Drosophila melanogaster: one gene and its partners. The protein of the gene in region 3 purifies or fractionates together with the protein of the main gene of each other region. This does not show direct contact. Each region holds a gene or a part of one and is shown on either strand. Other genes may lie near its edges. The genes, in order: CG12769, hrg and tra2.

Evidence for each region.
Region 1: the proteins of tra2 (region 3) and CG12769 purify together in Drosophila melanogaster (affinity purification with mass spectrometry, with the first as the bait; one large-scale study listed by BioGRID). This does not show direct contact.
Region 2: the proteins of tra2 (region 3) and hrg purify together in Drosophila melanogaster (affinity purification with mass spectrometry, with the first as the bait; one large-scale study listed by BioGRID). This does not show direct contact.

What each region holds. Positions count from the first base shown.
Region 1 is NT_033778.4:8,059,956-8,069,351, forward strand, and holds the start of CG12769 (uncharacterized protein), read right to left. Parts: upstream 5,600-9,396; 5' UTR 5,285-5,599; intron 1-5,284. Other genes in the region: CG17977 (uncharacterized protein), read right to left, coding at 6,795-6,803, 7,171-7,338, 7,388-7,489.
Region 2 is NT_033778.4:19,660,800-19,673,292, forward strand, and holds hrg (hiiragi), read right to left. Parts: upstream 9,034-12,493; 5' UTR 8,448-9,033; exon of another isoform or gene 8,319-8,447; intron 8,270-8,318; exon of another isoform or gene 7,991-8,269; intron 7,680-7,990; 5' UTR 7,555-7,679; intron 7,488-7,554; 5' UTR 7,450-7,487; coding exon 6,729-7,449; intron 6,666-6,728; coding exon 6,469-6,665; intron 6,411-6,468; coding exon 5,829-6,410; intron 5,769-5,828; coding exon 5,496-5,768; intron 5,432-5,495; coding exon 5,225-5,431; coding exon of another isoform or gene 4,726-5,224; exon of another isoform or gene 4,461-4,725; intron 3,868-4,460; coding exon of another isoform or gene 3,863-3,867; 3' UTR 3,748-3,862; intron 3,686-3,747; 3' UTR 3,120-3,685; downstream 1-3,119. Other genes in the region: CG11018 (uncharacterized protein), read left to right, coding at 1,744-1,797, 1,851-2,750; Kpc2 (Kip1 ubiquitination-promoting complex subunit 2), read left to right, coding at 9,956-10,350, 10,485-10,496, 10,562-11,051, 11,107-11,442, 11,495-11,798, 11,862-12,010.
Region 3 is NT_033778.4:14,601,504-14,610,592, forward strand, and holds tra2 (transformer 2), read right to left. Parts: upstream 2,835-9,089; 5' UTR 2,694-2,834; intron 2,636-2,693; exon of another isoform or gene 2,626-2,635; 5' UTR 2,597-2,625; coding exon 2,481-2,596; intron 2,423-2,480; exon of another isoform or gene 2,233-2,422; coding exon of another isoform or gene 2,231-2,232; exon of another isoform or gene 1,999-2,230; coding exon 1,845-1,998; intron 1,787-1,844; coding exon 1,658-1,786; intron 1,622-1,657; exon of another isoform or gene 1,483-1,621; intron 1,403-1,482; coding exon of another isoform or gene 1,391-1,402; exon of another isoform or gene 1,374-1,390; coding exon 1,001-1,373; intron 940-1,000; coding exon 917-939; 3' UTR 501-916; downstream 1-500. Other genes in the region: Blos1 (biogenesis of lysosome-related organelles complex 1, subunit 1), read left to right, coding at 1-341; CG12868 (uncharacterized protein), read right to left, coding at 3,133-3,602, 3,664-3,697; CG33469 (uncharacterized protein), read right to left, coding at 4,190-4,672; CG33468 (uncharacterized protein), read right to left, coding at 4,871-5,358, 5,426-5,456; Su(var)2-HP2, read right to left, coding at 5,914-6,330, 6,395-9,089. UniProt on the Drosophila melanogaster protein: Required for female sex determination in somatic cells and for spermatogenesis in male germ cells. Positive regulator of female-specific splicing and/or polyadenylation of doublesex (dsx) pre-mRNA.

The DNA of each region.
Region 1 (9,396 bases), 6.5 Mb from region 3:
CTGGCCTTTCAATTCGAGTTCGCTGGCTTAAAGCCACTGTGCGCTCGCTTGTAGGCCAAATGAGTCTTTTGCATAGCCTTAGGCCGTCGCGCACGATTCCCATTCAAATTTAAATCAAAAGCTAGTTTATTAGCATTGCATTGACCAGTGGTGAATCCACAGCGGAATGGGAGTCGGAATTGGAATCGGAATTGGATGTGGACGGGGAATCAAGGTGGAAGTGAAGTTGAAAACGAAGGCGGCGCATCTTTTTGAAGGCGACTGACTTTCGAAGGCTGGATCTTCATGCAAAATAGACCATATTTCAGATTTGACCTTAGCAGCGTTGTTTTTTTTTCTACCGGTTTTCCAGCGTGGGATGGGCGAGGAGATCGGCTTTCGTCACGCAACAAAATGAGTCAGTCGGTCGATGGAGTTGTTTTTGTTCTTGTTCCCCTCTTCCTTGCCAAATCAATGAAGCATTACCAAAAAAAAAAAAAACAAAACAAAACAACAACATGTGCGTCGAAATGAGAACAAGAACAGAGCGAAAAGGAGAGAAGCGGGAGAGAGAAAACCACTTTCCATGGTGACACACTTTTATGCTACGTGCTGTTTTGCTACTTTTGCCGCCGCTTTTGCTGCTGCTGCTTCTGCTGCAGCAACAACGCCAACACCACCAACAACAACAATAACAACAACAACGACGACGCGACTCCCATAATAGAAAGTGGAACAGGAATTTCCCCCCTCTATCAATGCCAGAGAGCACGGCACGGCGATGATTTCATTTCGGCTTTGGTTTTGGCCTGGCCTGCACTCATTGCGAAACACTTGCCACGGCCAACAAGCAACGGGCAGCAGCAGCAACAACAACGCAAGAAAATCAAGAAACGGGCGAGAAAAAACGTGGGGTAAAAAATAGCTCAGTGGGAGCCGATTCGAGCGTTGAGCTCTCTGTGTACAAGCGCTCTCTGGCACACTGAGAAAAACCAAAGGTCAATGGAGTATTCAGGCTTGAATGCAGTAACTATGGAACTTGCAAAAATATATTTTTATTAAAGCATTTAAGATAAGTTTTTGCTATTAAGCAAATCCCACTAATAACATGATTACACATTATTTATTAAATTTTAATACCTTTGATATGCGAATATCTACTTAAGCAACTTTTCTTCCCATGTAGCTGCCAAAGCAGCTGAGCGAAAATTGCACTCTCTGTATACAACGGCCCACGCTCTTTCTCCCACTCTCTCCCGTTCGGCAAGTGCAGCGCATGTCCCGTTTTTGTTTATGCTTTTCTCACACCCGCTCTCCCTGGCTGTAGTTGTTGTTGTTGCCGCTGCTGCTGTTGTTCCCGTTGTTGCAGGTGCACGTTTTTTGCTCTCACTGCAATTGCAATTTTGAAGCATTAGCCGCGTGAATTAATTTCTAATTGATGGGACCAGCAACCATGCTCTGCCCCACTTCCGATTCCCAGAGAGAGAGTCTGCCGATTTGCTCTCTTTGCTAAGTGGCTAGCGTATAATTTTTGTTGTGTTGACCTAATTATACGCTCATTTTGATTCACTTGATTTTCTCTGCACACAAACACTGGCAAACACTCACACACACACAAACACACAGGCACGAACGTTTCGTCACTGCGACAAGTGGAGCAGGCAGCGACGCCGGCAGAGGCAGCAGCTTGTGGCAGCGACCGTAATTTCTTGTGGTTACTGGGACGCAAAACAAATACAACATATAAATAAGGTGGGATACACCCCCTTCAAAACACACACTACGATGCATGCTTTTAGCCACTGCATCCCAGCATTCCGGTATCTGCCAATAAATCCCGATTCCGAAATTCCCAAACACCGACACAAACCGAACCGAACTGAATCCAAACTGCAATAGCTGGTGGAAATGGATGTGGAAGTCCCACACCAATTGCATCGGTATCCGAATCCCAATATACATACATACATAAGTAAGTACGTATCTGTGTCTGTCTCCGTTTTGTTTGGGACGGAAATGCCAGGGCAGGCGTCCGAGGGGGGTCACCACTTCAGGTGAGTCAGAGTTCGGAGGGTTGGGGATGGAGATCAGATAGATATTAGCCACAATTATTTCTGCACTGACAAAAATGACTACTTTAGTTTTATTTCACATAAAATTAAAGCGCACTTAATAAAGTGACAGTCCCATTGTCTCGATGTCTTATTTAAAAAACTAAAAGCTTGGTGTAGTATATTACTATGTATACTTCTTGATATAATTTACTGTGAATAACACAAAAGTCTTAGAAACTAGAACTAGAAGAGATACTAAGCTTGCAATGCCTTTGTATCTTCTGGTCATTAAATGTAGAGTAAAGGATAGGTATTTAAAAAATTGGTAAGCATTTTATTTTTCATCTCGCACAACTAATCATTGGTACAACTGAAGTTACCACATATTTTCCAAAAATGTGTACCAGCCACCTAATGCTCGAAGATCTTCGTTTGGGGGAATGCTTGAGTTTGAAGGCCTTTTATTTTTTTCATGTTCTCCCATGAAGAGTGGATGTGGATTTGGATGTGGATCCCCCTTGGCGCCAAACACCACTGGCGAAGATTTGCCAATCGTTTGGCTCTCCGGCACACCAACACACATTCGCCCAGAGAGCCGCCACTCACTGAAACACACTTATGCACACACACACACCAACCGATGGCACAGAGACACAGATCAGCCGCAGCAGCAACAACAAGACGCAGCAGAATTTGAAATTAGGTCAACAGGTTTGGCTGTTTGTAGTGGTGGGCCAGTTACTCGAGCGTATGCCGTCGTCTTTGCCTACGACCTCGGCTGTCATCATCAAGGGAGCGGGGTAGCAGAGGGGGCGGTGGAGTAGGAGGAGGAGTAGGGGGAGCTGAGGGAGTAGCAGCAGCAGCAGCAGCAACTACATCCAAGCTATCGCCGCCAACGCAATATGCGTTCCGTTCCGTCCCGTTCGCCATTCGTCGTTTATTGCACCACAGTTCGTGCAGTCTGCAGTTTGCAGTTTGCAGTTGCTGTGGGGGAGATGCACTCGCTCACACACACACAGCCGTCCATCCGAATTGAGCACACTGCAGTGTGGCTGTACGGGCGAAGGGGCGCGGGTGGTGGGCGTTGGGTTGTGGGTGGTGGGTGGTGGGTGGTGGGATGTGGGATGTGGGCGATGGGAAAGGGGTTGTCCACCCGTCACTGTGTGCGTGTGCTGCTTTTGGGGAATGAACCAGGGATGCAGAGCACAGTTCTAGCATCCCACAGCAAGAACCAATTGGGAATCGATAAGGGGAGAGGGAGATGAACGAAATTGACGCCAAGCCACTACGGTAAAGCCTTCTAAGACGCATTTTCTGAATAGAAAATATGTATGATCCGTGTTAAGAGCAGATTTTGGAGCTGGTAAGTATGCACATTATAATTTATTTTAACTAAATTCGTAAACTTGGGAAAACCATACTATACGATATCTACAAGATTTCCTTCAATGAGCGTGATTGGGCACAAACCCAGTTCTTGACACAAAGAAGTTAGCTAGTGAAACTTTTTGTGGCACTCATTAGAAAATTTAGCTAAGCCGAAACGAGAGTTTTATGAATGACAGATTCCTGTTAACCCATTTTCGGACTTCTTATATCTTGCAGTCAGTTAAATTTAAGAGTATAATTGTTTTACTATTACATCGGTGGACTTTCACAAAATAAGTTAAAATGTCTTAAAAATATCCATTAATCCATAAGTTTCAAAATACAGCCAGCAGACAACATTTAGGGAGGAGTGCTCTTTCGTGGGATCCACTTAGTCAACTTCTAACCAAATCGGACATGGACAGGTATGACTGCCGTTTTAAAAGGCCCGAATGGGCAGGCAGCAATCTTCTAGCTGCAAACTGTTGCGAAAACGCGCATATGTTCTGAAATGGAAACTCAACGCGGAGCCGCCGACTGGCGAGACCAACTTAAGTTTCTGATTTGATTTCGATGCAGCCAAGAGATTTCCACATACTTCTTAGTTGGTTTCTGTGTCACAATCACACAGACGAGGTGGACGTGGCACGATGAGGAGGGGCGGGTAGAAGAGGACGGGCCAAGTAATGAGCTCCCAGAGAGCTGCAGCCATCGCCATCGCCACCTGCAGCAGCGACGGAGGCGTCGCAGCCACCGAAGCCGGAGCAGATAATCCCAGTAGAAATTGAAACTAGCTGCGGCAGGTTTAGAAACTGGTATAGAAAAACGCCAGCCACAGCCGCAAAGGCAGAAACGGCAACAGAAACAGCAGCACACATAGGCAATCGACCTTGTAGGAGTGTATTTTGTCTTGGAGCATGCCCGTAAACTGGGCCAACGCGATTGCACTGAAATCAGGTGGGCGTGACGTAGGTATATACAGTGCAACTCCGCGAAGTTGAATTCTGGGAACTCAAAGTAAATGCGTTTGTTTGATCGGTTTACTATTGTTTGGTTTGTAAAGGGATTTTTACTAAAACTTCAGACTTGGCCTATCCCAAAAACAGATTTATTCGTGTAGCTTCTTTAATTACAATTTCCGGTAATTAAATAAACTTGATAAATACAAAAATGTTTCTTTGACTCTGACTATGATTTTGAATACTCGTTTGCTTATACCTTTATGTGATTTCAGTACTTGATTTATTAAAGTGGCAGATGGTGTGGCCACCTATGGAATTTTGACTGTATGTTGGCCAATAAACGCGTTAGTGTGTGCGTGTTCGTGTGGGAAAGCTGGCTGTACCCTTGGCGCCCATTAATCCATGGCGGAAAATCCACGAAAATCTGTCGCAATCCGACAGATATCCGAAATAGCCAGCCAGGCGCTCGCAGGAGTTTCGTAATTACATACCCGCTAAAATGAAAGAGCGGCAGCCTTGGCTTCTGATTTTCAGTTTCTTTTTCTCGTTTTTAGCTTGTCAGTTCTTCGATTCTTCGGTTTGATAGTTGTTTTTTTTTTCGTTTCAACTTAGCATTAGCACAGCTGGAGTCTTTTGCAATGCTCTCGAAAAAAAGAAACGCGCTGGGTGTTTGGCAATTTTAGATTTCAAAATACCACAAGGTGCATTCTAAACACACACACACACATAGGCACACGCACACAAACAGGCACTGGTGCGCTCTCCCGCTCTCCGGCACGCACACACACATACACTAGGGCATATTGCAGTTCTTGGATCTATGTTTCTCAATGGGGACTTCCATGGAGCGGGGCATTGCATTGCTTTTGCAATTTGCAATTTGCGTACACTGCGGAGTCGCGGATTATTCAACCAACTAACCTCCCACAAAAACGGCAACTGGAACACAACACAACAATCGCAATGGATTTGGATGTGGCTGTGGAGTCGGATGTGGATGTGGATGCACTCGAAACAACGCGAACGCCGAGATGCCGAATGGATATTATGGAGTCGAAACCAAACCGAAATCGAAATCGAAATTACGCGCAGCTCGAAAGGGCAAGAGTTAGCTTTGGGCCCCAAATAATAATAATAATAATAACAACAATAATAATAATAAAACTGTCAGTGGACAACGCGCGCGCCACATGCGAGGCCACATCCGAATGGGCCAAAAGACGAATCCACTCTGAGCGGATTCCGATTCGGAATCGGTATCTCCCGCTCGGCCGACGCTCTGCCGCTGCCCGCGTCGCTGCCGGCTGCTCTGCCGTGGCGCTCGGTGAAACAAAAACAACTCAAGCGATTCCGATTCCTCAAGGCCTACTATTTAGGCCAAAAAATAATGTACCACAGCAACTACGGCGGCAGGCAGCAGTGGCAGCAGCAGCGGCAGCAACTCGTTTCTTACAGAAATGTAAACGTTCTAATTGAGTTCTCATTTATGGCCCGCTACACCGACTGTGCAACTGAGCACTGGCCTGGTACTTGTTGTTGCAATGCCTAAAACCATCGGAAAATGTTTTTATCCGGCTGGCATAACCATTTTCAAATTGGAAACAAGTTTACTGAACCCTGCCAGGTTGCCTTTTTCACCAAGAGCAGCGACACTCGTCGTTTTCATTTCGAATCACTTGTCTCAGTGGCACTGGCGATTAAGTATCCATTAACAAAATATCTTGGGCATCGCGTTTTTTTAAAATCTTGCAATTCCTTTACGATGATTGCGAAACCTTGAAGAATGTTGAGGATGGTATATCGATGGATGGTATATGGTCTCTTTCCATATGCAAATATAAAATATATAAACCCATATATATATATATAAACATTTTATAATACCTTTAGAAACGAGAAAGAAGCGTCTCTTCAAATGCACATTTTTTGAATTAAATACATTTTTTTCTTTATTGCGTCAGTTAATTTACAATAAGGTTTAAAAAATGACTAATTAGGTGAAATCAGAACTTAAAAATCGAATAAATAAATAAATCAGTGATTGCTTTGCAATGGAAAACAAAAGTATGGTAAATAATAACAATTATTAGAACCACTTAAAAGCCACATGTGGTGAAATCTTTGATCCATATTTTTCCAAGGGGATGTCGACCAGAACGTTACGGTTTAAAAGACTGGCGTTTCGAGGCGCTATGCAAGCCGAAAATAACCTCATTAAAGCGGAAAGAACACAACTTACTGCAGAGAGCCAAAACCGGTTTGGCTTAATATTCCTTTCGTTGAGATAAACGTTGCAAATAAACGAAATGCAGCATTGATACCAGCTTATCGGCTAATCCCAATCAGAATCTGGCTCACACTTTTGGTTCTGTCTAATCCTCCTCCGTAAGTCGTGGTTTCTTTTATGATATCGTCGCCTTAATGTCTGTTTTCAGGACCCCTAAAGATGAGAGATTACCAGAAAATGTTTTCTTAAATTTTAGCGCAACTAACTAAAAGTACTGATTCTAAAAATATTCCTGCTTACTAATTTAATTTCACAAATACGAACAACTTAAGATATAATAATATAATAGATATGGAAAGTTTGATGCACTATAAAAAAGGAACCATCGCGGTCTTCAAGCATAAAAATATCCCATGCAAATATAATTTAGTTATTTAGAATGACTAGTAATTATAAACTAAATTGACCCATTAGCTTATAAGCCAGGATAGTTTTTTTTACGCCAAATTATAAATAGCAACACCTAATTTAGTAAACGAAATGAATGCTTTAAATCTGCACAAAGCTATACTTAACTCACCAAAAATAGTTTCGTTAATATATTTGTATGAGATGACTGACTGCTGACTGAGAGCTCACCGTCGCAGTTGTAAGCCATGAGAATATCGTAGTTGAACATCTTTGACAAATTGTTTTTCAGCGGTTCTATTCGACCTTCTGGCCTCAGGATGCGGTGAATAATATGAGCCTGGAAAACAAAAAGATCAAGTTTGTAATACCCCAATAATCAGGCTTACGTTTTGTGCTATTGCCCGGCTTTGAAAGATTCGCATCCAGATTGGAAAGCTCGTCGGGATCATACACGGGAAAATAGTCCAGTTCCACCTTGCAAAAGTCATTTTGGTTTTTTAGGATCTTTTCAAGCTTATTTTTGCAGCTCCTCCATTGCATCTTTCAATATCTCGACGTCGTCGTCACTCGAATATTTGGGGCATTGGTGTGTGCTCATTGCTCGCCTGGGTAAATATACTTAATGTTTTGTCATCAAATGCAATATTTTGTCCATAGTTTGGTAAATGAACTGATTTTGTTTGTTTTTTTTTTCAAAAGTAGTATGTTTTGTTGATGATAGAGGTGTGCAAATGCCAACAACTTTTCATTTGGTATCGATATACCACTTGATTTAATACGAGTTCAAAACCTTTTAACAAGGAGCATACAACATATTTAAGATCGAAATCAGCTTCTAATAGGTAAGCTGCTTATATTAGCTAATGGAAAATTGGATAAATTAGCTTTTTGAAGCCTTTTAATAATGGTATAGAAATGTTATCAATTTAAAAATTAGTAAAACTGATTCGTGGCACCGCTAGATTTCTGAGTCCAGGGCTGCATGCCCAGATAAAGCCATATCGATCGACTAACGAGCGGTCACATTAAAAGTGCGTTTCTCGGCGCATTTGCAGGTATTGAGTGTGACTCCGTTTTGAAAATTTGTTTATCCAATTTAAAGCCGTGACCGGAACCCTGCTGAGGTGTTAAAGTTTAGTTTAAGTGTCCCCCCACCTGTGCAACGTGTTTTCGACATGTCTCCCGGGGGCTTGTCAGCGAAAAACTCGGTTGAAAATTCAATAGTGGCCGCTGTCTGGAGCGGCGGTCGTCGTCAATTACTGGGTCCCTTGGTTTACATAAGAGCGAAAGAGTCGGCTAGTGTGGCGTTGCAGAAATGGCGTCGAAGTATGTGCACATGGCTGGGTCTATTAAGGCTATATATCCCGTTTGCCCCGCAATGTGCAACTGGGAGTGCGTTATCCTTGCCGGGTATGTCACATATTGGACAAATTTCGCCAACAACGAATCGTACATTTCGCTTATTTCGGCGCAGTGTACGCCACTTTGTCCGGTTTTGCATTCCACTTTGTGCGCTTCATTCGGTTTCAATGCCCTCGCATTCAGTGTTGCCAAGTGCCGGAGCGTACCTAGTGATGTGTGCCATCCGAGTCCTGCCGTGAATTTGTGCGTTTGTGCAGATATTGTAGCTAACGCTGTTTGCCCTCTCTAGGACCTGCTACCTCGTTAACGAATCCAATCATTGTGCTCCGATTGTTGGTTAATTTAACGGCCTTGCCAAGTGCCGCTGCGCTTTGTTCGCACCTGGCAACACTGGTCAGCCCGCGCTGGTGCGGGTGCGAGGGAGATGCCGCTAGGACAGATGCAGAAAAGCGAGCACAAAAGCGAAAGCGAAAAACCGAAGCGAAGAGGCCAAGGAGTTTATAAATCAATTTTTGTGTATGTCAGTCACCGCGATTCCCATTGCAATTGGTATTGAGTAGTTTCCGGGTCTCGGATCGCAGTTCCCCAGTTCCCGTGGTCAAATTTCCATATCATGGTGTACGTGCGAAATGCGAAACCTGATGGAAAAGTGATGGCGACAGCGGTCTTTTGTTTGTGTGCGGCAGTACGCGCGTGTGTCTGTGTATGAATAATGCATGGAAAGGCGTTATTCACGGCAAACGTTGATAAAACTGTTTTGACAACAAAAATTGAGTGATTCAGATATGCACTTGGTATCGGGGTCGCCTCTCCCGCTCTCTTTCCCATGAACCACCCCCCCTGGAAATGCCAACTGACGTTTCGGCTTGGATGCGTCGTGGTCACGTACCCCGCCACCCCCTCGGCAATCATTCTGTTACCTGTTTTGCCAATACACTTTTCACCCCCCTCATTATTTTTGTTATTTCTGAATGCTCGCTTTGTTTGTGCGTACGATCTTCCCTTCCTCTCGCACTTCTTTGCTTCGGCGTGT
Region 2 (12,493 bases), 5.1 Mb from region 3:
ATTTTCAATTTTCGCACTGAGGTGACACAAATGCGTGCCACAAATGACAAATCGTTGGAATTGGCCGTGCAACCAAAAAGAACAGCCACTGTGATATAGTAGTTTTTCAATAATATATCAGCAGCAGAAGTTCCCTTGGGTTAAAAACGGCATGGTTATTCGTGTGCCAAAAAAAAAAAAAATTAAATAATGATGTTAGGCACTTTAGGTACAAAAAGAACAGCCACTGTGATATAGATATGGTATATTAACTTACAGCACAGCAACTATTCCCTCTACATTAAAGGCTGTGATTAAGTTTAAGTAAGCTGCCAACTTTGACTTTCATTTTCCTTGATGAGTTGTGGACTTTAAACATGCGTTATAAAGGAAAATCACTGTGATATGTTAGGAAACAACTCATATCACAACGATCGTTCCTTTTAGCGAATGGCCCGATGAATTTGGGGATCACTTAACATAATTTCTTGACTCGTGGTGCTGCTAATGCCACAACGAACTTCAATGGTTGTCTAGCTTTATGACCGGAAAAATCACCTAAGGCTGGACGACCAAAGAAACTAATTGCAACCGCTCCATAATATTTTAATTTTCACTCGCAACTTTACTGAGCATGTTGAATATTTTAAAATTATAGCACGAGTGTTCGGTCTAGTCACTTCGCTTAATCGAAACCTTTCTTTGAAAAAGAGACCATACCGACATTCGCCATTCAATTTTAAAACTGGAGTGCCCAATATCACTTACTCTTGATTTTTTGATTTAATTGATTTGAAGTTGCGACGATGTGGCCAGGATCTTGAGACACACTTTGCCCAGTGATGTGAGATTGAAACATAACTGCACAAGATGCATCCCAGGATCGGGACCTTAGGTGGCTCACAATTAGCTGGTCGTCGTTTCGGGATTATAGGACAAACTTTACCCAGTGCTGGCTTGGAAATTGGCAAAACCGAACAAGGTTTGTCGTATAATTGCTATTCCAAACTTTAAGACTTCGCTTCTCACTGCGGGATCCTTACACTTTGAAGATGCGTTGGTAACTGATGACTTCCTTGCCAGCGGCTAGATCTTTTATACCCACTTTCTTGTCCTATAAACACCTACCTGTGGGTGGCGGGCGTTGTTACCTGAAAGGGTCGGGGCTGTTCCGCGAATTCGCGTCCCGGATCGCGACGACCTTAGTGAAAATTTTGCAACTTAATCCGTGGCCATAAACGGATTAATGCTACTCGGTTTCGGGGAAAAACGCGCAGCTGTGTCGCGTATAATTTTCGCAGAACTGCAATTAGGTTAGGACCAGAAAGGACACGGGATCGCAGATCACCGTCGGGTTCCCCGTGTCGTCCCACGAAATCCTAGGTATCACGCAGGATTAGTCAAGAAAATTTCACTACCTTAAACTGTATAGGTGGCGACTGTACACGATGTATTTAAAATCCTTGAGATATTAATGGCTCTTGAACAAACCACCTGTTTAAATTGTAGTTAACTCCTTTACTGTATACAGTAACATAACGAACCTCCATGATACAATATATATTTTCAATATTGACTGTAAATTTTTTACCATTACCAACTATTATTTGTATAGATCTTTCCCGGCCTAGTTAGCAATCGAAGTTTCTTTGTAATTGAAGTCACTATGGGCTCCTTGTTGAAAACGCTTATTTCTTACATTCGTATTGTTGAATCACACTTTAAAGACAAGGGATATACCCCTAAAATATCACATAGAACACTATGCATTGGTATGCAATCCTCCAAGGATTCCTCCTGGGAATATCATCGATAATCGTGAGTGCGTCGAGCCACCAACTGCAGCACCTATGTATATTATAATCCATTAGATTTTATGGGTACAAGGAGTCGTTGGCTTGCCATTGGCTACAACCGATCTGGAGTCACTTCCAATCGTCTTGGCAGAGGATGTTCCGGTGGAGAGAGCTCCAAGGCAAGTAAAACCAGATCCGTCGACGTTCGATATTTTCAAGGTGGATCAAAGCTCCAATAACCAAATGCAGCAGAAATCCGACGGCTTCAGAGTGTTCGCAAAGAAACTACAGGATGATTATCACCGTAGAGCTGGCTACAATGAAACTAATCCGCCACCAATTACTGTGACCCGAGGAAGCACTACTGCTCCTAAGAAAATCCATAAAAGTGGCATTCGACTATTTGCTTCTCCACAAGATCCACCTCCGCCTGAAGCTGCGGCGCCAGCTGATGGAGCTCCAGCGGCGGCAGGAGCGGCTGAAGGAGGTGCCGCCGGAGGAAAAGGAACTGAACCACCCAAAGAGCTGACCGTCAGTATTCAACAATTCGTTACAAACCAATATGGGGAGAAGGAATACAATGCTTGGGGCGTCACTTTTGGTAGACATTTCTTCGACACCCGTTTCGCCGTAGCTAGGCATGAAATACCTCGAATAACTGTGGATCCGAAACCGGTCCGTAATTACTATCCAAAAATGGACAATCTGACCACCGTCTGCTTGAACAGATCGACCATCTACAATGAGATTAAAGTCGAAAAGTGGCTGATGCGCCACGTCTACAGCATAAAGAAGAAAGTGCGCCCCTTCTTTTTCTCCCTTCGCCAGCAGCTCTACGAGAAAGGGGATTCGGAGCAGTGCCACAATGAGTCCTACACTGACTGGTTGGAGTACCAGGAGTGCGCCATTAGACGCAACCAGCGCATGGAGTACTTTATCCCCAAGTATCCGCTACACCAACTTGCCATTAACTAAAGGCAACCACATCTTGGACTCACTCAACCTGTTTAAATTTCAGTTAGACATTGATCATGATCAGTCTTCGTACGAGAAAATTGATGGGACAAGGAATGATTATCATATTTGTGATTCCTCTTCATTTAAATGTAAATTCAAAAATTTTCTTGATTTATGCTTGCAGAAATAAATATATTTTATTTTCTTAATTTAAGCTTCTTCGGAACAAACTACTCATCCTTTATTCGTCATTAGCAAAATAGTACATTTTTCTATAGCAATTTAATTATATCCAATAGTTCCCAACATTTTCAGTGCAAATATTTTGTATTCCAAATATATTATCCATCACACATCTCCAATAAATAATTAAAACATTGATACATTGGTGTTTTAGCTTGCGCTTTCATTTTTCTGGTTTATTTGGTAAAATTAAATCAATATCTTCATTTCATTTATATGTTTTTGTTATTACCTTTTTTCAGATATCATTTCTTAGAAAAACGAACATAATTGTTTCAAATTTTCAGCGTTGTACAACTAGAAGAAGAAGAAAACAAATATTGAAAACAAGATGAAAAATTAAAAAGAATCTTCTTAGTTTGTAAATAGTTTTCAAAGCGAATCTTCTCCAGGATCTTGTCAGTCCGCTGCTGTCAATCATCCATTCATCCATCCATCTTTATCCACATCCTCCTCTCCACACTTCTCTCTTCTACGCACTCCTCAAACCAGCTGTGGGGAAGTAAAAAAGATGTACAACAATATTATTAAGACAAATGTTAGAGAAATGCTTTCTCTGCCGCTAAAAATCGCCTCAAGTCATGATGTTTTCTTGTCTTAACGGCGATTGTTGATCTCCGAATGCCAATTTCGATTTGACGATAGGGCGATGTTAATTGGTTGAACGAATAATGTTTAACACATGTTTGTAGAAGGTGTATGATAGAAACCTGAAATGAATGGAAAACCGAATTATAAACTTCAGTGGCCATTAATTCAAAATTAGTCTCACCGTTTTGTATAAAATATTGTGGGCTTCATGTATGTTCAGGCATCAATGCCGAGGAAATCAATAGGGAGATAATAACTATGATAACTAATCCTTAAATGGTATGTTTAATAACTTTTTACACTGCAAAGACAATAAAAAGGATAAAAACGGTTATTGGAATATATGTATGTTTTATATATATGTTTTAATTACAATACTTCAACAAGAATATGCAAACAAAACATTCGTAATTTTCGGTGTGGTAAAAAGTTTGAGTTTATTGTACAACCAAAGTGGAAACAATTAAAATCAAATTAACAGCAAAAAATCTTTTTAACAATACCTTCATCTTTTACTTAATTTCCAGATGAGACGTGTGTTATTATCGTAGTAAAATCCCACAGAACCGAAATATCTGTGCTACTATATAAAACAGTTTCCTTAGCTTGTCCCTTATAAAACCCAATACAAACATTAACAAATGCTTTTTAAGGGCCATGAATTCATTAAAACTGACGAAAGCTAGACAGCCAAACAAAAAATAAAACCCGAAATATAAACAAAATAAAATGTAAATGTTTTACACTTATTTCTTTTTAGAAATTGTTTCTTGAATATTGAACAAAGCAAGGTTTGTTTCTCGCATTTTGTTTTGCAGATTCCTATAGCCTAAAATGTTTGACCAAACGAATTTCACTGTAAACAATTTGGAAAATAAAAATACGAAAAATGTTCAGTGTTTTTTCTTTTTTAAAAAGTTTATTTTCATCATCGTTTATTGAGCTTAGTCTCGGGCTAGGTAAATTGAATTTTTAAAACTTAAAAAATTAGAGGTATGTTTTTGTTAGATTGTTTCCACATTGGCGGAATACTGGTTATAGAATACGTAAAAGTAAGTAGATAGGCAACTTAAGAGTACAGAAACAGTCTCGTGTCAAAGGAAGTTGGGGAAAATGAAAAGAGAGTACGATAACGAGGAAAAACATTTAGGCAACTTACAAGAAATTGTCGGTGCCGGTGGTGCGGCACTCGCAGCTACCGGAACCGATGTTGCTGGTGACGCCGATGTAGCTGTTATTCTGACCGCTTTTTGTTGCTGTTGTGTTTGGTTGTTAGGTGTCAAAAGTGGTTGATTGTTGTCCTCGTCATCATCATCAATGTAGTACGTTTTGTTGTAGTGGCTGCCGCCGCCACCGCCGTTGTTGTTGTGAGTGCTATGCTGGGTGTAGTTGCTGTGAGCAATGTTGCTGCTGCTGATCATGGTTGTTGATGTTGCCGTTTGCTGCTTGCGCTTATGTCCGGTAATGCTTAGAGCAGCCGATAGACTGGAAGCGGCATGCAGAATCGAGCGTTGGTTGAAAATGCTGTTGGAGGCGGCTGCCGCAGCCGCGTTGTTGTTCTTTCGGAACTTCTGATGATGATGATGGTGAGCTGGTGGCTGTGGCGGCGCTGGCGGTGGCTGCTGATGTGGCGGATGCGGATGTAGCGTTGGCGGTTGTCACGAACATGCCACCTCCGTTGTGGTTGTGTTGCTGCTGGCATTGCCATTGTTGTGAGGCTGTGTCGGTTCCTGCTCTACAACGTCTATCTCGGAGCCGTTCTTGCCAGAGCTCTTAAAGCTTGGCGCACTTAATTGCGCCGTTGTGGGCGTGGTGGGCGTCCCTGCCCCCATATCGCTGGAGGCATTCGAGTTCTCCTCTGTCAGCTAGACATACAAAGTTTCGACTAATTAATACGTTCTAAATTGATATCTTTTTTATACCACTAACCGAATCGCTGAGTCTTTGTATCTTGGCTCCGCTATCCCGACCGCGATTTCCACTTGATGGCTGCTGGCCTGGGGGCAGTGGATCCTGCGATTGGGCCAGTTCCGTAGAAAGTCGTTTGCGGTTAGCCAATAGCGTGTTATTAAAATTATTGTGACTTTCCATTGACTTGCGCTCACGTTTTAGGAAGTCAGAGTCTAAATAAAGCGACAGCTGCTTGCGCTTTACATGGCGGGCATCAATGGTCATGCCTTCCTTAAGCATTTTGATGTTAACCTGCAAGATTAAAAAAGTAATAAGCAACTGAATAAACATTATTTTCGATTTTTTACTTACGCCGTGCATCATCACATGCTCTGTAAAGTTTTGTATGCTCTCGGTGAGGTCCACGTTAAGGTTCTCCGATCGCTCGAATTCCAAGCCTATAAACCACATGGAGCAGAAGGGTGCCGATGTCACAGCAGACTGGTTTCCCTGCGACTGCTTCAGATCGTCTTCATTTCCACTGTTGTTTTGTGAGTTGTTGGCACTTTGGCCCTTCTTAAACTCAAAACACTTGGGATTGACATGGGCCAGTGCAATATGGGGATTTCGCTCCAAGTTGCCAATTAGCAGACGCACCTTTGACTCAACAAGGCCGCACCACTCTAAATGATCGTCAGCCGTCTGCGAGTTGACTAACAACACGATAAAGTGGCGGTATCTGTAAAAAAAGCTAGGTGCCTCAAACAAACGCTCCCACGGAATGCGACCGAGCATGATTTCATCCGTGATGTTCATGCCGCGATTGAACTCGGTCAATATGACCTTCTTGGTGGATTCGGACACATTAAATGTGGAATTCTGTTGTGGGTATGCGGGCGTAATAATGGGCATCAGATGATACCGATCCGAGGCATTGACACGCGGATCCCAGACCTAGAATAGGAAAATCTATTAGAGAACCGGACTATTTGGATAAGTTTTTATGACTTACTTGAAATCTTAGATTAACGTTGTCCGGGTGCTTGAGTAGCACTGGGTTAGGCCACTTCCAGCGCGAAAAGACCAAGAAAAACTTGTGCACCAGTGTGGCAGCCGCAGCGTTGGGATACAGCTGACAGGTTCTGGCCACTAACATGGCCCAGGTCACACCACCGAAATAACCCAATGAATTTGAGTAGATTCCGTGCTCTAAGAGAGAAAATGAGAACAATTAGAATTTAATTTATAAGAATTTTATATAATAACACGTACTCTTTGCCCACAATTTGATAGTGCGCAGTGCCAGGCGGAAATTTTCAATATTGGGCACCAGGGCCAGGATCTCGTCCGTCACACGACAGCCGTTGAGGCTGCGCACCGAACGGTGATCCAGATTCCGCAGTAAGTTATCATCCCGTAGATCAAAGTCATCAGGAATTTCTTTTAGGGACAGACGGGCAAACAGCAAATCAATTTCGATGCCATCAAAGTTCATTTTGATGACGGGCACAAAGGCCTCTTCCACCGAGCGGCACTCGGTTACCTCTGGCTGCTTCTTGAGCACCTCAAAGAAGCTCTGAAAGTAGTCGGTGCGCTCAATATTTCGCGGAGCAACACATAAGGCATCTATATCGGCACCCTTGTGATGGACACCCAATCGATACGAGCCGAATGTGTAGATCTTGCCGCCAAGCTTCTCGGCGGCTGACTCTGGCATGTTCTTGCTGACAGAGATTTCCTTGACCCACTGCTTGACCAGTGTGTTGAGCTTGGCCAGGATCTCCATACGGTGATTTAGCTCGTCCTGGCTCTCAAAGACGTTGTACGGCTCCAGTGAGCCGCGGAGCTCATCAGTGCGCTGGAGATCCTCAGGCCGTGGCTCGGCCAGACTGATAGCCGAGGTCATGCCCAATTGCTTGGCGGGCGGTCCGCCCGAGGTAGAATTTCCATTGTGCTGATGGTGCTGGCGATGTGTTGGTTCGGAATTCCACATGTTGTCTGTCTGCCTTCGTTTCAGCTTAAAGTTATGTCCTGAAAATTGAAATTTTAAACGGTTATTATCTGATCCTTTCGGAATCGCTATATTCGATTTACTCACCTATCTAGGCTTAAAATGTATGTGGTATTATATTTAAGTTTGCTCTCCAAGAAGACAAAATGGAATCATATATATGCGACACCTCCTCTTGTGGCTCTGTTTAAGAAACTGCGCTTAATAAAATGCTGGAAAAGAAAATAATACATTTAGTATGACATCTAAAGCATTACTCTAAGGTTTGGTTTTAAAATTCTTAAGGAAGAGCGGATCGTATTGAAATTGAATAGGTTTGTTCGGACTATGATAATCTCATAAGGATTGCGAAATATTAGGGTTTCTTAAAGTGAGAATTATTGTACGGCGTTTCCAAACTGATGACGACGCGGTTTTTTAAAAAGTGAATCACCTAATATTTGAACTAAATATTTGTGGGATACACATTCATCACGTGATAAGGGCTACATATATACAACAGTTACTACTAAATTGAAATTACCCTTTTCTTCCTGTGTAGCAAAACAGTTAATTGACAATTACAATTTACTTTCGCGCTGAGTAAATGCAAATTGTAATGTGCGATAAGATATTTCTGATAGCGCCGTTATATACAAAAAACATAACAATGAATTTCGCAAAGCAGCTGGGCACACTGGTTCACTGGATAGCCTTTCGGGCATATAAACAAATGCGTAAAAGAAATTGGCAAATAAATTAGCGGTTGGAGTGGGTTGCCGTAGCTGTTGCTTGTAGCAGAATAATTGTGACAATGACAAACATAAACAAAGAAAGCGAATATTTATGCGCCTGCACCACCCCCCTCTCACCAACGACAATCCTCCCACACAGGTAAACGGTGCTCTCACGCACGCACTCACGCACACCCACACAAACAGGCACGCGCCGTATACATACACACACGAGGGGAAAAGTTTTCTCTGCTTGTTTTTGCTTACCTGCGCTTATTCTTCAGATTCTTGGCCTGTTTTTGTTGTTCCCGTGCCGCCGCTTCAAACAATATCTGAAGGTGTGTGTGTGTGTGGCGTGTCGTGCTGTTTGTCCGCTGCATTCGTGAGTGGTGCATATGTATGTATGTATGTTTGTTTGTTAGAACTTTTGGCAGGAGAGTGTATCCCATTCATGTGCTGTTGTCGCTCCGGCTTTTACTCTTTTCGCACGTTCGTCTTCCTCGCTTTTTTGCCGCACTCTTCACATTTCTTTTTTCGTTTCTTTTTCCGTTCCCGTTCCACCACCTTCCACTGCTGCTTAACGGACAGAAACTCTCGCGTTTTATGCTACGTGACGCACACGCACACACCGATATACAAATGCCAGTAGTCGACTTGCCAAAACGCAAACACAAACGCTTTCCGCCCACTTTTGTTTCGTTTCGGAGGTGACGGGGGCACACTGATAACACGACGGGATCGACGCTGTGGCGTTTAGTGGGCGGCAAACATATTTTACTAACTTTTAAGCCCCTGCGCGTTCTAGCAATAATTAAAATGTGTGGCAATCGATTGGATGCTTGTGGCAATCGTTATCGTTTCTTGCGGCGCATAGAGATGAGCCAATGGGAGTAGCTAGGGATGGGAAGATTTCCATGCTCTCTGCTTACGTATGCCTATTGTGAATGGACATTTTTAGTGAGAATTTTTAAATGATTTTTAGCAAATTGGTTTTAAATATAATGTGTATGAGCACCATTTTATTTCATTATCAAGCAGATTCGTTTCGCAAGTAATAAAAGTGAGAGTCATCTGCAAGCGATACCGCCTTAAGTAAAATAAGCTGAGGGCATAGGATTTACTATTGGTTCTTTTACAGTTGGGACCTAATCTGGCCATCTGCTTATTTGAAATCTGCGACAGATGTCACTTTTTGCACCTTTGGTGTAGGTAAATTCAAAACCCAATTTTCTTACCTGAAATTTGAAAACCCATTTCAAACTGGGATTTCAAGTATGTTTGGGTTTTATATGACGGGTCTAACCAGGTACCAATTTACCATTAAGACACTTAGATTGTATTACTAATAGTTTTTGGAAAATGAATTCTTTAATTCTATTACTATATTCGGGTAACTACTATTTATTGCAGTAAAGTAACAAAAGTATTTAACCCCAATGTTTTCCTGTTATTGTTATTGGCTAACGATAAGGAATAACATAGTTTTCTTCATATATGTACATATCACGATATATTTATAAAGTTCAGCCACATAACATATTTTAAAATAGTTTTTCATGTCAAAATAGCCGTTATAAAGATTAGGGGTATTCCCCATGGATATGGCCTATCTGGCAGCACCATCAAACAGCTGCTTGCTATCGACTTTACAAAAATAAAAATCGTTTTTTTTTTTTTTGCAATAACGCATCGATTCTGTTTACTTGCGAGAAATATGCAAAATAGCCATCGAAAAGTGCCGCAAAATGTAACAAACACCTAGCTGCAGACCCAAGATGATACCCTGGATGCGGGAGAAGTTCAACGAGAAACGGGCCAAGTGGTTGGCGCGTAGCAAGCGCAGCGGTGGTTCTCCGGCTGACGAAAGCCCTCGGAGCAGCAGTCATAGCCACAGCCAGCGGACAGACGCCAGCGATGCGGAGAGCCTGAGCGGATCCTCGTTGAATGTCCACACGGCGGAATCTGAAACGCAGACGGATGGCGGGATATCCGCTTCCAATTCGCGGCCCCTTGTGGGCGGGGGCAGTTGCGTCCTAAGGACTCCATCGCCCGCTCGCCGACGTCGCATTCACCTTGAGCTACAGCTGCAGCGACGAGAGGAACGTGCTGAGCATCAGAAGGTGGTGCCACAGGACTCGCCCACGCCCACTCACCAACAGCAGGCTAATGCGTAAGTTATCAAACCGAACGAATATGCTTATGTTTTTCAAAGTGCTCACCCGAAACAAATATTTGTCTTTCGAAATTCTCCGTTGGTTTGTCACTACCCATCCAACTAAAACAAACTATGCAAAAACTGCGCAGTTTGTTTCTCAGGTTAGTAATGCTTAGGTATTATGCTAATCTTTTAATTAAGTCCATTCTTAACGGAATCCACTTAGGAAATCAGCCCATACAAATCGCCCAGGTAGCTCTACTTCTGGCGAGGCAGACGATGCCAGCAGGCCAGGTGAATCTATCCTGGTGCGGGTAATCTGCCCCAGCTCTCGGGTTCTTATCTTCAAAACGGACGTTAATAAGCGCCTAAACGAGCTGAAGAGTGAGGTGATTCTGGAACTGAGCGACGATCCCGACTCCATCCAGCTATTTGCCCCAGATGTGCGGCATCTTAATCCGCGATACCGTCTCTATCGGGCGGAATACTTCGGCGGCGAGCTTAACGAGGGCGACACGCTGGCCCAGCTAAAAGTTCGCAACAATGAGACTTTCATACTCTCCCCACGACGCAATACTCTGCCGCAGACTGTTTCACGGATACGTGAGGTTCCTGGCCCAAATGAGCAGCTGGTGGAGAGCGCCACCCGATACGTGCCCGTCAATTGCAACCAGCTGCCCACCATCGATATTAATGAAATCTTTCAGCAGTCGAATGTGAGTACAATTCTTGGCTACTCCTTTGATTATTCTAATCCTATTCCGTTTCCAGATCCAATACGATGTGCGAAAGGTGTTGATCTCTTTGGCTCAAGCTTCTGCGGCGGTTATAGGAGCTGGCCCTTATGCTCCACGCCTGATAGCTATGCTAAAGCAACGTTTGATCAATCGCCGAAATCAGCAAGCGGATACGCTGCAATGCCTCGTGGACATGGGCTTCAAGCGGGAGCTAGCCGCATTTGCCTTAAAAGCACACAATGGCATTTACTCGACCACGATGGAGTGGCTAATACAGAACCAAAACGAGGAAAATCCACAGGAACCGCCGGGCATGAATATGCAGCACAGTCTATCTTCCATCTCACCCTCCACGATTGTCACCAATAATGTAAGTAGGAATTAGATTATCGCTTTTTAATGACAACCGTTTTCTTTTAAAGGAAACCATTGAAAACACTGCTGCCTTGATTGAGATTGTACGAATCTACAGCCACCGGGATTCCCCTCCCAGCGATGAGATTGTGGAATCGCTTACAGAAATGGGCTTCGAGGAGACGGCAGTGCTCGCGGCACTGAAGAAAACTGGCAACAACAAGGCGTCCGCGTGCGAATGGTTGTGCGACAATCGATCGGGTAGCGTTATTGAACTGCGTGAAGGCTTGGCGCCCGATTCGCCCATCCTAAAGGTGATCCTGGAAATGCCACAAGTCCAGATGACCCTAAGCAATCCAAAGACTTTTTTGGGTATGTCCATCTAATTAAGATAGCAACAGTTGAAATCGAAACTAATTGCACATACGTTTACAGCATTTCTGGGCATCCTGGAAAACGAACATGCGATACGCGTGTGGCGTGGCGACAACGACACAACCTCGGTCATCACACATATCCTTCAAAAGTACCATGAGGAGAAGCATGTGCTTGGCATCAATCAGTTCTATACGAACCGCTGGTGAAAGATGCCGCTAAGTGGCTTTACTATGAGATTAACCAAATTATATTTATACATATACATACACAATCACACACCCGAAGTGCATGGCTGTAGCTTGGTCCATTTTGGGGCTCTAATTATACATTGTGTATGTGCCCGTATGTAAAGAGTATTTTTGTAGCCAAAAACCATGAAAGTAAACTGCACAAAGCCAAAAGATGCAATCGCTTCGCCAAGAGCACGCGGCTGCACTCTACAAACGCTTACCGATCAGTACGAATTGCATTTTATACATACATATACATATATATACATACATACACATATATATACATACATACATATATATATATATATATATATATATATAAATATAAAATGTATCTATATCTAGTCAGGCCTTCATCCTACAATTGTATTAGGTTAAACAATAATTACTCTATTCATCTAGTTTGCTAGCTCATCTTCAGCCGAATCTCGCACTACATTTAGAAAATGTCACATA
Region 3 (9,089 bases):
CTCAGTCTCTGGTGGACACCCTAAATGTGGGCGTGGCTCAGGCCTACCTGAACCAGAAGCGGCTGGACGCAGAGGCAAAGCAACTGCACTTGGGCGCCACCAATTTCGCCAAGCAGACCCACCAATGGCTGCAGCTCATCGACCAATTCAGCACTGCCCTAAAGGATCTCGGCGACGTGGAGAACTGGGCACGCAGCATAGAGGGGGACATGCATACGATTAACCAGACCCTAGAGCTGGCCTACAAAGCCTCTCGAGCGACACAGACATCGAGCGGAGCAGGTACATCCCTGGAGGCCTCTACTTCAGCGTCGGCAAGTGCAAATCCCAGTGCTACTTGAGCGTTTTCCAAAGAATGCATTTGTATCCTGTGGAGATCCATTGAGTAAGTGTATGACCGGTTCTGCTTCCCATACAAACTTAGTTAATCCTAATTAAACTGAAATTTATAGAAGCTTAAGTAAATGATATGTACGACCAATTCAATAAAACGCCCATTCACAAGTTAATCGTCGCTTCTGTACAAATTAATCTTTATTTTGTACCTGCTGCACAATTGCATTTATAATTAAAATTAGTTTAATGTTATCATTATCAGTTTGCTGCAGTTCCTTTAAAATACATATCACAATCCATGCGGACCTCTGTATGTAATGTTGGTAATTGATTTGATATTTACAATTTATGTTTTTATACAGCATTAATAATAGTAACCGAATTATTATGATTAAAGGGTGTTTTGGGTGAATAATTAATTAATCTAGTTGCGAACTGTTCGCCAACCAAATGCATTAGATGGGATAGGATTCACCAAAACAATATTTCAGTCGTATGCTCCTTTACAGCCCGTTTGACACAATCCAGTTGGGCGAACTTAGGAGCACGAGTTAATGAAGTAGCCTCCTCCCCAGGCGCTTTAATAGCGCGATGAAGTTCGACCTAATCGTGGAAAATATACAGGATAAACGTTTGATTAAATAGACGGAGGAATAAACTTTACGTAGTTGCGGAGAGCGTGAACGGCTGTAGCTCCTGTTGCGAGTGTAACGGTTGCGACTAGGGCTCCTGCGGAGATTACGGTCGTAGCGATCGTTGCGGTAATCATAGCGATCACGATAGTTGTCATAGGGCGAAGCGGAGCGATCGTGATACACACGGCGTCCTCTACGCGGTGAAAATGAGCGTGGAGCTTTTCCACGCGGCTGACGACCCAAATACACACCCGGAGTTGGGGTATGAGCCCGTTGGGTTATAGAGAAATCGACGCGAATACGGCGACCATCCACTTCTATTCCGGAGCAGCTGTCCTTAGCCGCGCGGGCATCGCTGAGTTTCTCAAAGTAAATGAAACAAAAGCCCCGGGAACGCTGTGTCTGTATGTCAGAAGTTATTAAGGGTTAATCTACGTTTGTGAACTTGAACTTTCCTAACAACTGAACACATATTGATTTCGGGAGATCAATATTTCCTTCGAACAATATGCCACTGTGACAGCAAGCCTTTAGCTTTTAGTTTGGAATACACAAAAACTCACAATCGCTATCAAATTTTATCTAGCCAGAAATTAAGACAAAACTGCAGGGCTTCAGCGGATTTGTCTACACAAAAGGATTCAGGCAGGAAATATCTTAGCAATGCTTATCGAAAACCGACTTACTTGTGCGTCAATCACCATCTGGATGCGTTCGATAGGTCCGTACTTGTTGAACAGCTCGCGTACCTTGTGCTGCGAGGTATTTGTGTTCAGTCCAAAGACTCCTATGCAGCGGCTTGCTTGTGGATGTTCCTGAAACGCCGAAGATCTTTAGGATTGAAAGGAGGCATTAATCGGCAGAATGGCTTACGCGAGACTTGTGCATTCGTTCGCGATCGCGTGATGAACGTCCGGAGCGATGACGCGGCTCCGGTGGCGGCGACTCCGAGGAGGAACGCGAACGGGAGCGTCGGCGAGAGGAGGACCGCTGGTGCCGGCGACTGCCACAGTAATCGTAGTCAGACCTTGATTCGATGTGGAATGGAATGAAATAAGATTATCTTGCGGTTCGTTCTTGAGGGTCTTGAAAAGTTTTGTATTTCGTGTGGATTTCGGGTGGTTCTTGCACGCCTTGGTAACTGACAGTTGGAAAATTTGTGTGACTTGACAAATGCTACGGTTGGGTTCGACCTCTTTCGGCCAAATTCTTTGGTAGTTGGACGTAGAATGAAAATGATTGCTTCGGTGGGTTCTTACATAGTGATGTTCGTTGGTTGGTTGGTTGGTTGGTTGGTTTCTTCCAATGAAATGAAATCGGCTTGAATGATTTTTGGTTTTAACTTTCTTGGCAAGAGCACCAGCTGAATCGGCTGAGGGGGCAAATCCAAATGAAAGGGCCCTATGACAGTTGAACCTTTTTTCCAAACTGCCAGTCAAAACTACTCGATGCTTCATGTCAAAAGAGGTATCGTTTAGGGTCGTCTCACATATGTGTGTACACATTTACCTGCGGTCCTTGTGTCCGGATGAAGTTGTCCCCGCTGACGATGATGACGCCGATCGCTTGTGTTTATATCTGGCGCTGCAATGGAGACGCCCGCTACTGAGTGGCTCCCGATCCATTGGCTTTTTGCTTACCTATCGAAACTTCGCTTATCGGAGCAATGGTGGCGAAAAAAGAAGATGAATGGGTGCACACTATTTGGATTGCCGTTCTTACCATTTTTGAGGGTTTGATTCCCTGCTATATTGCACACCCAATCAGTGTTTACCAATTAATTGATAGCCTTTGGCAGGTTTTATTTATTCTGTCTGCGTTTAGAAAGACGCACGCTTCAACAGGGGTGGCGATAGGTGAGGACGTGCGTTATCGATTGGCACTTTAACCCTTATGCGGCGTTGTCATCCATTTAGAAAAAAAAAACACAAGCGGAATTTATTTAATGTTATCGAATATATTTAACAAATTAAATCAGCATAATTATTATGTACTTTATTCAACGAAATATAGGAAAATAAACAAAATTTGTACTACAAGAAAACAATACTATTTGATTGGTTAGCAAACCATTATGTTATATGGATTTTGTAATAGTACAATTTATTATTCTTGCTTTTAGATAGTCATATACAAATTTAATCCTAAATCACAGGTTAGTTTAGCGATACCGCATAGACCACATATTCTTCACCATCACATAATTATATAGTCTCTGGTGTTCCAGATGATGCAGATCCGTGATGGTTTTCACCACTCGCTCGTCGTTGAAGTGGCTTTTAGGTGGGGCTTCCAGGAGATTTCCCGTCGTAAACCACTTTAGGTTCGAGAAGTGCTTTCTCACACTGTCCCGCAGAGCAACTCCACTGAAAACTGGTGTGCGGTACAGATCAAACATATTCTTCTTGCCATACTTCTCGTGGATCTCATCAACGGTCTTGTCCAGATCAGGCTGCTTGGCGTGATATATGACCCATAGTTTTCTTTGTGGGGCACGGAGATCTGTCAAGCTAAGAACTCCAAAGAATTCTACTATGTAGGGATTGAGTTTGGGTGTTTCAGCTTTTGGTTTTAGACAGAACAATTTTCTCAAATGGCTGTCGATTTCCTCATCCAGGTTGTAATCTCCTTCTGCGAATCGGTTGTTAATCATCGTTGATGTTCCAAATAAATAATTTGCCGTTTTAATTACCCGTGTTCTTATCAGTTACTGAATTCGTTGTCATATTTTAATAACGAGGTGACTCTTGCTTCTCTGACTTCTGAATGCGTGTTAACTTCCTACGCACTCTTATTAAATACCCAACAAATACGATTTCAACTGATTTGTATAAAGTTTGTTTCGTTTTGTTTACGATTTCCAATTTCACAACAAAAGAGCTTTTTGAAGCAACCCTGTGGCCTATCAAAAAACAGTGAGCTTTTAATGCGCTTGTTTCTTTTTAATACCTATTAATGCAGACAACTAGGGTGTTTATGTTTGTTGATTAGGATGATCGGATGACTGTGTCTTTAGACTCCAAGGTATATACTATTATGTACTACTATATTATAACCGCAAGCTACTTGTGTGTGTATATATTTTATTCGACATATTTTTATAAATCATTTAACTTGACCAATAGGTTGTAAAATGTATAATAATACCCCCTATCAACAAATACACATGCCGCTTTTAGTCAACAGATGTCGACTGTAAGTCGATGTTTTTAGTTAGTTTAATGTTTAGCAGGAGGTGGTTTTTGATCATTATACCGCTCAAACCAGGCGTGTTGTATCATTATATAGTCAAAGATTCTTTTTTGCTCCTTGTTATGCAAGTCCGAAACAGTTTTCACTAGTCTTTCATCATTATAATAACTATTTAGTGGAGCTTCCAATTGATTTCTGCTTGTGAACCATTTTAAGTTGGAGAAATATTCTCTGACGACTTTATGAAATCCCACTCCGCTGAATGTGGCGATCTGAAATATTTCTCTGACATTCCTATTGCCATATTTCTTTCGAATCCTTTCCAGAACCTTTAACCTTTCTAATCTAAGGCCATAATAAATGTACCACCGTTTTTGGGCAGCGACATTTGGTTCGTCAATACTGAATATTCCGAAATATTCTATCGTATCAGCATCCAACGACGTAGGTTCTGCAACTGACTTCATATAAAATAGACGTCTCCAGTACTTTTCCAATTTATCGTCCATGTTGCTAATATTCCCTGCTATTAAGAAATATAATCAGATGAAAACTTAAGGTGATTCATAGGCTTTGCCCATTGATAAGTGTGCGGCAATTTTGCCTTCCTACCTCAACAAGCGTTAAAAGAATACTGGTTAGCATTTATTGGCATTTATTATTTTAAAGCTTTATTCTAGAAAGTCTTATACATAAATGAAAATATTTTATGCATTTATGTTTCGATATGTACACGATTTATACAGATTACTCCTAGACATAAGGTAATCGAAGTATCTTCTCCTTTCGTTCTGATATAAATCTGCAATTGTGTTAACCACTTTCTCATCATTAAGGGAGCTACCTAGCGGGGCTTCCAAAATGTTTCCTTTTACGTGCCACTTAAGCCCTTTAAAGTGGTTCTTAACACGGGATCGCATTCCAGCCCCTGTATATACCGGTTTTCTGAACAGCTCGTACATATTCTTTTGGCCATATTTACGATGGATCTGATCCACAGTTTTGTCCACCTGATCTGTTGTCGCATAGTACATGTACCACAGTTTTCGGCGAGGCGCTCGAACATCGCTTAAACTCAGAACTCCAAAGTACTCCACTTCGGTTGGAATGTACTCATTTTTAGTATCGATTTCCTTTAGGCAAAACACACTTCGCAAATACCTTTCCAGTCGCTTTTCTAAATCGGGATATGCACCTGTAGATTATTATATACATATGTGCATCATTATAATATGCCTCTGTAAAGTTTTAACTAAACTTACTATTGGGAGCTTCAACAGCAGATGTTGTCATCTTGAAAAATTTGTTGTTAATAGAAACGGTTTTTCCCCTGCGCAACTTTTATACTTATCGCTCTGTAATATTTCACAAGAGCTTTAAGATTTCGCCAATGGCTCCAAAAGCTTCGAACGAAATGTAATTTTTCTTATTTCTTATTTTACACGATTTATGCGTTTCGGCTTATATAAAAAAATGTTAGAATGTTTATATTTATATTTTATTTGGATACTTAATAAATATGCAATGATAACTATAAGATATTTACTTGAAAGTCCCACACTGAATAAAATATTTAACCATTTATTTCAAAAAAAAAAAAAAAAAATGACGATGCTGCGTAAGGTTTAACAAATTCTTCATTTCAGAATTACAAAATTATGATTTTGCGTTCAACGAAATAATTAACTCTTAATTAACTGTGCTAAAGTAACTTAGAATACTTTCCAACTGGTTTATAGTCTTTGCCCTGCTATATAATAATCTCCGCAGAATCATCCAGCTCGCCTTTGATCACCGTCGTTTCCATGTGCCCTACGCTGCTGTTGGAGTCAGGCAGGATGCTTTCCTCTGACTGCACCGCGTGGTTAATGATGAAGACATTCGGATTTCCGGTGGTACTCAGACTCATTCCGGCGGGGGATACGAATTCGTCAGCAGGAGTCTCACCCAACACTGCACTTAAAGACCCTGTTGATTTCGCTCGTGCAACGGATGAGACTGTGCTCTTGGACAGAGTTCTTGCCGGCGCCGTCTGCTGTTTGCACAGCGCCGGTTTCTGCACAGCTGGTGAAGAATTCATCGACTTTAAAGGGCCCGAAGTCCCTGGTTTTTTCTTGGCATTCGTCCTTGGTGCTGGCATACACACTGTTGTGTTGAGATTAACGAACTGTTTAGGAACAATAAATTGTTTATTAATGACCACATAAATATTTGTCGTAAATAATAACTACCTGACTAGCGTCTTCCCGAACACTTTTCGGGATCCCCAACGTGGATCTTGGCTGAGCGTTTCCTAGAGCTGCTGCTGCTGCTGCTTGGGATGTGGAGGCTTTCACAGGCGTGCTGGTGGCAACATATGAAGACTTTCGCCCTGCCGTCGATTTCGAGCAGCTATACGGAAAGCCAAGTGTGTTCCTGCCCCCATCGTAAAGGGGAATGGTAGCGGGGAGAGAACTCCGCTGTTGGGCATGGTCCGCAGATATTTTCTTCCCTTGCTGTGGGATGTCGGAGGTGGCTATGCTTTTGGAAAGCGTCGAGCTGGTGGAAGCGCCTAAGCTCGAGTTGATTTGGGCCGGGGTTAGAGGAGTCATTGTGCTGGTAGCCTTGTTTAAGTAATGTACATAGTTTTCCAAAAGCTTTGTACCCACATCCACGTCGATGGCCATTAACGAGCTGGTCCTTACAATTTCCTCAATGGTACGCTGTCGCTCGGCCACTGATAAGTTGGCTGCCCGCCGGCTGAGGGTCTGGAGCACCAAGTCAAACATTTGAACCCTCGCCTGCAACTCCACGCGCTGCTTGTCGTTGGGGCAAATCGGAGGTAACTGAATAAAGGACGGCGACGCATTAATTACCATCGAGGTGCCGGCTAATGAGGGATTGGTAGCCACTTGTTGCACTGACTTCTTGATCAGTTTTGTGCCACGTGGCAACTGTTTGCTTAAAGAATCCAAGTCCGCCGAAATGGTAGTGGAAGAGGAACTGCCTGAAACTACGGGAGTGGAAGTAGATGGGTCCACGGTTGTGGGATGATTAAATAGACCTGGATCAGGTAGGGGAGCCGATAGCAAATTCTGTATAATCGATGGAAACGGTTGAGTTGCCGGACCAACCGAAGCGGGAGCAGGTGAAAAGGATGAAGGACCGGTGGGATCAGCAGTCGGAGTGGTAGCCGTCGGGGTCAGTTTACTGGAATCCCGTTCTTTCGACTTGTCCAGTAATTCCAGCTTTGCCCGCACCTTACTTGGCATATTCTTATCCGCCTTAGAGATAAACTTGGTGGTTATAACCAGGAACTGCGGGATTTCCAGCACCGGTACCTCGGCCTTCGAATGCAATCGAGTAAAATCAATAGCCCGCATTGGTCCATCGAGATTTGGACAGCAGAAGTCTAGACCGACGTCGTCATAGGATTGCTTGTAACGTTTCGGGTAGAGAAATGAGTACATCTTGGTCTGCCCAATGGCATTGGGGTTTCCGTCAGGGTCACTGGCGGAGGGAATTGAATGTAACTCAAGCGGCCTAGATGAAGTGGAAACACCCAAGGTGTTGACTTGAATAGTGTCGGGCCCAGCGTCTTCCGTAATCGCATGTGGTTGAGGTGTTGCTGGTGCTGCAGCAACCATAGGCATGGGCTCATTAGGTGAATGCTCATCCATGATATCTTCCGGCTCTGACTTTACCTCTGGAATTGGCACAGGCAAACATTTGGCTTGAAACGTTTGTAGCTTCTGCGGTTCTGCAACCTTCTTGGAACTTTCCAGCAACGTTGGTTCGTCAGGAAGATGTTTTTCAGTCGATGGACAGAGAGCAGTGTTCAAGGTTGCTTTAGCTGTCTGTGCACTTTCGGGTGCGATGTCTAAAGCGGGTGATGTCGATGAATCGTTAGCTGCCGGTGAATCATAAGCTGCAATTGGAGCAAGTTGAGCTGAGCTTTCCCTTATTCGGAGATCTGAGGCCTGTAATGTACAAGAATCGGGCTGGGATGCAGGCAGTGGCTGAATAGCAGGCTCCGACTGTACTTGGGATTGCAGAATTGATTCTGACATCGACTCCGCCGCTGAATCCGTTTCCGAGGTTTCACCAAGCAGTGGTAATGACGTTACATTACGAGATCCTTCTTGTTCTTCATTCCTCTCCTGCGTGCTCCGAAGCCACTTATTATAGGGCCTCCGATTTATTTTCACGCAAAGTTTGCGGGGACTAATATTTTGAGGAACTGTATTACCCGTAGAACGCACTACTTGGGGAATAACAGAAGAAGCAGCTGTTATTTTTACTGGGAACGCAGCAAATGCAGATTCTTGGACATGATCATTCTGTTGTGGGTGGTCCTCTTCATCCATCTCTCTGGGTCTCTTGGGATTGATCACCGCTGTACCGTCTTCCGCTTCACCCGCTTTCCTTTTTGAAACAAGTGGCTGGTTCCTTCCACCTCGTGCACGACGCTTTGATAAAGTCTGTGATTCCCTGATTGGTTTTTTTTGGTCCGAAACAGGCGTAAAGCGCTCCTTAGAAGCATTTCGTTGACTGTCAGACATGGGAGTTGGTGTAGGTGCCAGTGATCTGTTGCTGCTGATAGCTCGGGTCATGTGACCTGGCACATTGAAGATTCCTTGGGATTCGGGAAATGTTGCGCGGATATCGGATACATCTGATTGAGAGTCCATCGAATCCATTAGCTCAGTAGCAGCCTCAGCTTGCAGGGAACGAACCTCAGTCTTGGGCTTCGATTTGGGCTGTTCCGTTTTGGTGTTTTTGACCGCATTTTGGTGTCCGCGACCTTTAGACATTTTCTCGATTTCTGCGTCTTGAACTGGAAACTCTGTTTCCTTGGGCAAAGCTGCTTTCAAAGCAGTTTCAGACTTCGAGACATCTGGTTGAGGTAAAGATGTTCCTTCAGATTTTCTACCATCTATTTTACTT